2 linked regions of the Saccharomyces cerevisiae S288C genome follow. The protein of the gene in region 1 interacts with the protein of each later gene in a biochemical or structural test. Each region holds a gene or a part of one and is shown in the gene's direction. Other genes may lie near its edges. The genes, in order: VIK1 and TUB1.

Region 1 (4,763 bases):
TAACCAGCCCAAAGGGTTGCACGTTCTCTTCCGTCGATCTGGAACCAAGCTGTGGCGCTGCGTGGAACCGTCCGGAAATCTACAGAAGCCGTTAGAAGAAAACAGAATAAACACACGTGACCCCGTCAGTGTGGAAAGCCGCGGGATCACCACCGTTATTCGTTTTTTTTAGCACGCGCGCGAAGATGACACATTGCACACCACATGTTTATGACCATTGTTATTACTCATTTCACTGTTATTTTGCATCCACATCCACACCCGGGTGGTTTTGCAATTCGGTAATTACTCCACGGTGCATAAAGAAGCGGCTCTGCGTAAAAAGGTATATATAAGAACAGGACTCATCTTGATTTCGGAAAGGGTCTGGAGCAACTCTCTTTCTTTCTTACTTGTTTTATTCTTGAGAAAACCAAACTAAATTGGCTACACCAAACCAACCAAACTTACACACAATAATATACAATTACAATTATTTACAATGTCCTCTGTGGAATCTTCCCCCATCTCGCGCTATGAAGACGAGGTCTTCCCTCTTTCGTTTTCAAACGTTGCTTTCGAGCCCCCTATGCTCTCGCATAGCCCGGACAGATCGACTTATGCCGATGACTTTTCTCAATCTTACCAGCAAGAATTGCTAACTTTTCCGCTATCGTACCCGATTGTCGATGAGTCAGAATGCACGCACACTAAAGATAAGACGGACAGCAACATAATAACGAGTACTGAAGACGATTGCATGTTCGATATGGAATTTAACGGCAACGCCGCCAGTGCAGTTGCTGCTGCTAGTAAGGAATCTAACTCTGCCTCTGGGTTTGCCTTTGCAAGTAACGATGCCTTTGCCAATGTCGCACAACAGAACTACAGACTGTGGTTGTCATCGGTATGACGCATTTTACCACATCTCTACTTGTTCTCACGACCCCTTGCATCGCATATCCTACACATTTTAAATCGGCATTCCTTCCAAGCATATTCTTAATTCCTAATTTTACATAGTTTTTTTTTTTTTTTAGAGAAAATAACAACAATATACATAGAACTTACTTACTCAATTCTACTATATCTTTTTTTTTTGTTACTATTAGTCATGTTTGCATGACTCCATTACATTTTCGTTTTTTTGCTAGCCAATTCTGGTCGTCGGAAAAACTTTTCATTGAATCTTTCAAAGCGTGTAGCAGTTGCATTTTTTTAAAAATGAATATGTATGCAAAATATATATATGTATATATATGCCTAATATACATAATAATAGAAAAAAAAAACCTCATACGAAATAGGCGCTTCTCGTATCTATACTCAACCCGCCCCCAATGCTGAAAATTGTTACTCGGGCTGGACACACAGCTAGAATATCGAACATCGCAGCACATCTTTTACGCACCTCTCCATCTCTGCTCACACGCACCACCACAACCACAAGATTTCTGCCCTTCTCTACGTCTTCGTTCTTAAACCATGGCCATTTGAAAAAACCGAAACCAGGCGAAGAACTGAAGATAACTTTTATTCTGAAGGATGGCTCCCAGAAGACGTACGAAGTCTGTGAGGGCGAAACCATCCTGGACATCGCTCAAGGTCACAACCTGGACATGGAGGGCGCATGCGGCGGTTCTTGTGCCTGCTCCACCTGTCACGTCATCGTTGATCCAGACTACTACGATGCCCTGCCGGAACCTGAAGATGATGAAAACGATATGCTCGATCTTGCTTACGGGCTAACAGAGACAAGCAGGCTTGGGTGCCAGATTAAGATGTCAAAAGATATCGATGGGATTAGAGTCGCTCTGCCCCAGATGACAAGAAACGTTAATAACAACGATTTTAGTTAATGTCTGCATTTTTACCCCTCATTTGTGCCCCCAATTTCTCCTGTGAATAATCTATATATATATATTTATAATTATAATTATAAGGAAACAAGTCAACTTTATAATATACTCTTAAACAATCGTTTCGCGATATCCTCTGTCATGCCTCCACTGCCAGGTCTTTATTGTTTAGTCTCAATAATCGCAATTAAGTTAATAATATTTGCAATTGCGGCAAAGAAAAAATAGGTAAACAAAGAACTGAAAAAACAAAAAAAACAAAAAAACAATGAATATAGAATATGAAATGCCCTAACAACACACACATACACACACATTCTCCTCGCAAAAGCACCATTTCCTGACCAGTGTACTTTATGGCGTCACAGCAAAACAAACACGCTTTTCTTTCAAAGAATAGAATCTTTCACAATCCCGATAATGTGTCCTCATCAAAATCTCGAAACCTTATGGATATCACAAACACGACAAACACCATGAATGGCTCTAGACCTTCGTCTATGAAGAGTTCATTGGCTCTTCCACCCGTAAAGGATTCCTTCCCATCTGTATCTCGATCTGCATCATTAAACATCAACATGAGCAAAATTAAGGACTTAAAAGACCGCCAAGACAAAATAAGGTTCCAAAGACATACTCTCAGGACTCAATTGATTGAGTGCGAAAGAGAAATCAAAACCATCAAGTTTCGAGATCTCAATAAGTCCAGGTTTGAACTTTATAAGAAAAAATCCAAACAAGCAAAGTATCTCAAACAGGTTAGAGATTTGACGCAAAATCTGAACTCCAAGGACGGTGAACGCGCTGATTTAATTAAGAAGAACAAATCCGCTTTGGCAACCTTGCAGGCTGAACTCGACCAGAATCTGATCTTGAAAAGGCAGGAATCTCAAGAATTGTACAATAATAAGCTTATCTTTTGGGAAAATGAGCTGCAAATAATGGAAAATGTCGAGCCTGACCACGAAATCACAGAGGAAATATCTCAGTTGAAGAAAACGCTGCAAGAGCTCAACATAAATTGGGCGAATTTACAGAAGCAAAACTTGGAAAGACAAGTAAACCACGAATCACAATTGAGGAAGGATTTTATTGCATTCAAAGAAGCTAAGTTAAAATCCATGGAAAATTTGACAAACAAACATCGTGAATTACTTGATCAGATAGCCACTCTACAATCGGAAAGTGAGAAGTTACACAAGGAGATCATGGATATAGATAGACAAGCTGAATATTCGGAACAAAACATCTCAGAAATAAATGAAAATATAAAACAATTGGAATTGGCAAACAACCCACTAATAAGCAAATCCTTACAAAACTCGCAAGATTTGGAACATTTACAAAACCAAATGGAAAATTTGAAAGAAATGGCCTCTAAACAGGAAAAATTTTATAATGATACCTATAACACTGTGGAAAAAGAACTCCTGCGGAGTAGGAGACTTGAAAACTCTATTATTGAACAAAAAGGCACGATGCGCTGTTACGCTTACGTGATGGAGCAAAATTTGCCTGAGAACCTTTTATTTGATTACGAAAATGGCGTAATAACCCAAGGTCTAAGCGAACATGTTTACAAATTTAATAGGGTGATACCGCATTTAAAAGTTTCTGAAGATAAATTTTTCACTCAAGAGTATAGCGTTTACCATGATATGTGCCTGAACCAAAAAAAAAATTTCAACTTAATATCTCTAAGCACCACTCCACATGGCTCATTGAGAGAGTCTCTAATAAAATTTTTGGCCGAAAAGGATACAATATATCAAAAACAATATGTGATCACCTTACAGTTTGTATTTTTATCAGATGACGAATTTTCTCAGGACATGCTCTTGGATTATTCCCACAATGATAAAGATAGCATAAAGTTGAAATTTGAAAAACACTCAATTTCTTTGGATTCCAAACTTGTCATCATAGAAAATGGACTCGAAGATTTGCCCTTAAATTTTAGTTGTGATGAACACCCAAATTTACCTCATTCTGGGATGGGTATAATCAAGGTGCAGTTTTTTCCTCGAGATTCAAAAAGCGATGGCAACAATGACCCCGTACCGGTGGACTTTTATTTTATCGAGTTAAATAATCTGAAGTCCATTGAACAGTTTGATAAAAGCATCTTTAAGAAGGAATCATGCGAGACCCCTATTGCACTTGTTCTGAAAAAACTAATTTCTGATACTAAATCCTTTTTCTTGCTAAACTTGAACGATTCAAAAAATGTCAATAAATTATTAACGATTTCAGAAGAAGTTCAAACACAACTTTGTAAAAGAAAGAAAAAGCTCACTTAAGCTCGGTCACATTATCGTCTTTCTTAACACAGCCATTTAGATATGAAACAAATAAGGTTTATAATCTTTCAATATAATTACAACATACCGCATACACACACTTTTTATACATCAATCTTCCGTTAAGATTCCTTTAATTAACCAATTTAATTCATGCCTTGTACCAACGTTTCTTTCATCCAAAGGCGTGAAAGTCGGCTTTTCATTTAAGAAGTCCGGCAAGTCGTCAATATTGCTCTTCATATCTACTAGTTCATCATCGTTAACTAGCCCTAAATTAGTTAACGCATAGTATGAACCTGAAGGTTCAACCAAATTCGGAAATATAGATAACGAATCATATATGTCTTCATTCGTTAATGATATCGTTCTGTTTTCATGTAACTCCTCATTAACTGCTTCGCCAGCCTTTGTAATGCTGCTCATTGATATGTCGCCAATATCGTCCTTGCTACTGTTATTGCCGTTATTAATACTTTTGGCTTCATCGGCACATTCATCCTCATTTTTATCATCATCTAACTGCTTAATTTTGGCATCGCGTTTATCAGCAGCCATTTCTGATACGGATTTATAAAGCCCACTCTCATTCAAATCATAATAATCTGAATATTTCTTCCTTCTA
Region 2 (4,199 bases), on another chromosome or scaffold:
AGAAACTTAAACTTACACGTCTATCCTTGGCGTCCATGTTGAGCATGGTATTATCTTCACCTGCTGCCTGTCTTTAAATCGAGGGTATCCGCACCGCAGTTCGTGACCTGTGCCTGCGTTATGCGAGAGCAAAAGGGCCCTTAACGAGCCGGCACCTAAACGAAAATTTCAAGGGTTTTTTTGGCGGTGCCTAATAAGGAACGCGCAGAACAATAGACCCTGCCGGTAAACGATGGCCTTGCAGTCGTATACTGTTAAAACTGTTGAGTGGGTGAATGGCAGGGCCTAACTGCTTGCCTAGGAGTACCGCAGGAACGGTACGAATCGAGTGGAGACAGCAAACCTTGACGTGTGCTTGCTTTTAAACGGGTCGGAGAATTTACTCTTGAGCATATACGTGTGGGCATATGCATACAAATATATAAATACATTCGGGTGTATACGTAAATATATAAATATATAAAGTAACATATGTATATAAAGACGAAAGATTGAACGCCATCGTGGAGAGGGTTTTCGTATGAAGGTGCCTTAAGTCTTGTGTAGAAGTAGTTCTTTAGTTAAGATAGAACCTGGTAAAGACTCAATGGACTATTTACATGTATATAACAACAACCAGGCGCACGTTCCCAGAACACCTCCAGGCAGGCAGTGCCTATCGCCCGTTCTGCCCCCAATCATATTGGCGTTAGATCAACAACATTCGCTGACATTTGGGTACTCCAGCCCCAGGTGCTTGCCAACACCCATATTGCCTTCTATGAGCACAAATACGCCCGTCCATTGGTCACAACAGGTTGTCACTATCCCTGTCGCTGTACGAAATCATGCCGCAATGATGCCTATTATCACACCTATGACCTCCCCAAGACCTCAGTTTGAAGCAACGGCTCCCTCACCCCCTTTGGCCCCGGTCGCCATAAAGCTGCCAGATTTGAAACTACCACCGTCGCCTGTGCCCAGCACAGTAGAGGACAGAGTTTCACATCCTATCCTGCCCAAAATTGTGATCGGGAATGGCGGCGGCCGTGATGTTGAGCGAGATAGTACCGAGGAATTAATTAGGAAGATTCCAAACTACATTGGTTGTGCAAAAACAAAGGCACAATTGAGCAAAGTTAGGTCTGGTAAACAACTAATTGCATGCGCACAGGAATATCACCATCCAGTAAACAAGGACGAGATCGAAAATATCAACAACATTCTAAACTTCAGGGACTTTATTTTCAAGCATCCAAAATCCTCCTTCGAGTTCCTATGTACCCTGTCGTTTGAGCAGTTCGTTAGAGTATATTCATTCATTAGTTTCATCTACAGGACAAAGAAAATCAATAAGAACAAGTACGAACTCGTTTGTGAGATGAATGTTCACGAGCAACTCAGCAATAAGCGTATACAAAGAACAAGGACTCCTGAAAAGTACAAAATACATTTGATCTGCGAGTCAAAACTCATACTGACCTTCAACCACTGTACGAAGACAGTAAAATTTGAGTCTATCAATGGCGGGCACTGCCATCCGATTTCAGCCAACCACATTATCAAGCCCTCCCTCTTCCTTACCCACTGCATTAATAAATGCTACCAGACCGTGTCAGACCCTACCGATTTGAAATTGGCATTGAGAGACGCCTTAGAAGCCCTTGATCATGAAAGGATAGGATTGTCTTTCTTAAAGAGGAGACATTTCAAGTGCTCACACCAAGCATCATCACTCTCGAATGCCAGCGCCACATTGAAGAAACAAGAAGATCATGACACATTTGGTGTACATACAGGAATAATTCATACGGCAAATTTCTTCATGTTTAATGCATCTAGCGATATATTCCAGAGGAACTAACATATATAAATATCTGTATCCTTCTTTAAGAAAACACAATTGCATACTTTTTCCATTATAACTGACTGTTTCAGATCCTGCAATAGAAAGTATTTTTTAAGTAATGAAATAGTGCTTCCATTGATAGTAAGTGAGTAATAAGACGATCGGAAACTATTAATATAAGTATAGTTTACATATATATATATATATATGTGCCAGACGATAATATCACCGTAGTTTCCGGCCGGGTTATGCCACGCGAAAACGCCTCGAGCCAAGGGAAAAACTAAACTACAAAACAAAACAAAACAAAACAAAAACATCTACTATATCGTTTTACCCAATTCAGTATATCCGTCTACAACAGTTCTCGCCACCCAAGATCTGTAAACTTACAACTGCAAACAAACAATGAGAGAAGTTATTAGTATTAATGGTATGTTCGATTTGCCCGTCCAGGCTAGATCTTTTTTTTGTTAGTTCATTTTGGCGTTTCATCTTTCATTACTAACTTCAACGCAAAATTTTTTTTTTTTTGATTTCTCTTTACAGTCGGTCAAGCTGGTTGTCAGATTGGTAATGCCTGTTGGGAATTATATTCCCTTGAGCACGGTATTAAGCCGGATGGACATCTAGAAGATGGCCTTTCAAAGCCGAAGGGAGGAGAAGAGGGTTTCTCCACGTTTTTCCATGAAACCGGCTACGGTAAGTTCGTTCCAAGGGCTATTTACGTGGATTTAGAGCCCAACGTTATTGACGAAGTCCGTAACGGTCCTTACAAGGACTTGTTCCATCCAGAACAGTTGATCAGTGGTAAGGAGGACGCGGCTAATAATTATGCAAGAGGCCATTACACCGTTGGTAGAGAAATTTTGGGCGATGTTCTGGATAGGATTAGAAAACTGGCAGACCAATGTGATGGGTTACAAGGGTTCTTGTTTACCCATTCTCTTGGTGGTGGTACTGGTTCCGGTCTAGGGTCCTTACTGTTGGAAGAACTATCCGCTGAATACGGTAAGAAATCCAAGCTGGAATTTGCCGTATACCCTGCTCCACAAGTGTCTACTTCTGTGGTTGAGCCTTACAACACAGTTTTAACTACACATACTACATTGGAACATGCAGATTGTACTTTCATGGTCGATAATGAGGCTATTTACGACATGTGCAAAAGAAACTTGGATATCCCAAGACCAAGCTTTGCAAACTTAAACAACCTAATTGCTCAAGTGGTATCATCTGTTACAGCATCATTGAGATTCGACGGTTCATTAAATGTAGATTTGAACGAATTTCAAACCAATTTGGTTCCATATCCAAGAATTCATTTCCCCTTAGTTTCATATTCTCCAGTCTTATCCAAATCAAAGGCATTCCATGAGTCCAACTCTGTGTCAGAAATTACAAACGCTTGTTTTGAACCTGGTAACCAGATGGTCAAGTGTGATCCAAGAGATGGTAAATACATGGCTACTTGTCTGTTATACAGGGGTGATGTGGTAACAAGAGATGTTCAAAGAGCTGTCGAGCAGGTGAAAAACAAGAAGACCGTCCAATTGGTTGATTGGTGTCCAACTGGTTTCAAGATCGGTATTTGCTACGAACCTCCAACTGCCACACCAAACTCACAATTGGCCACTGTGGATAGGGCCGTCTGTATGTTGTCAAATACCACATCCATTGCTGAGGCTTGGAAGAGAATCGATAGAAAATTCGATTTAATGTATGCCAAACGTGCTTTCGTCCACTGGTATGTCGGTGAAGGTATGGAAGAAGGTGAATTCACCGAAGCTAGAGAAGATTTGGCTGCTTTAGAAAGAGATTACATCGAAGTGGGTGCCGACTCATACGCTGAGGAAGAGGAATTTTAAGGTTCACTCTCGCCCCCAACCTCCTTATCCTTTCTATATTTCAAGTATATTGTAAAAAAAAAAATTCCCCCTACTGTTATATCTCTTTGGTGATATCTTATCTATAATCTACTTATTATATTTCTCTAATATCTATGTACAAAAAATAAAAAAAAAAACCATTCTCCTTCTCTAACCTGCATTTGATGAAAGCTTAGTAAGTCTCATCGTAGTTGATGGGCCAAAGACATTTGTACTTGTTTCATCAGATTCTTACATCACCCATTTCCATGATTATTTCACGGATTTCATTAGTAATTGCATTTTTGTATCCCTAGTTCCTTTTCTCCCGCCTTGCCGTCGAATTGAAAAAAAAAATGGAAATGAGGACATCTTCCATTGATATCCAGGACAAAGCAAGAGTAGAAGTAACTATTAGCAAGGAGAATTCCAAAAATAGTGAACTTCAAGGTAAGCAGATCTATAGTTTCAATATCTGATTTTCTGCTTTTCAAAACTTAAAA

The links.
Region 2: the proteins of VIK1 (region 1) and TUB1 are reported together in a solved structure, tested with the Saccharomyces cerevisiae proteins (one study listed by BioGRID).

The regions. Positions count from the first base shown.
Region 1 is NC_001148.4:70,438-75,200, reverse strand, and holds VIK1 (Vik1p), read left to right. Parts: upstream 1-2,194; coding exon 2,195-4,138; downstream 4,139-4,763. Other genes in the region: ATG41 (Atg41p), read left to right, coding at 482-892; YAH1 (adrenodoxin), read left to right, coding at 1,320-1,838; HFI1 (Hfi1p), read right to left, coding at 4,250-4,763. UniProt on the Saccharomyces cerevisiae protein: Together with the minus end-directed microtubule motor KAR3, plays a role in microtubule organization. Recruits KAR3 to microtubules, and together they may stabilize the polymers. The KAR3-VIK1 heterodimer cross-links anti-parallel microtubules.
Region 2 is NC_001145.3:97,438-101,636, reverse strand, and holds TUB1 (alpha-tubulin TUB1), read left to right. Parts: upstream 1-2,236; coding exon 2,237-2,261; intron 2,262-2,377; coding exon 2,378-3,696; downstream 3,697-4,199. Other genes in the region: YML083C (uncharacterized protein), read left to right, coding at 587-1,843. UniProt on the Saccharomyces cerevisiae protein: Tubulin is the major constituent of microtubules, a cylinder consisting of laterally associated linear protofilaments composed of alpha- and beta-tubulin heterodimers.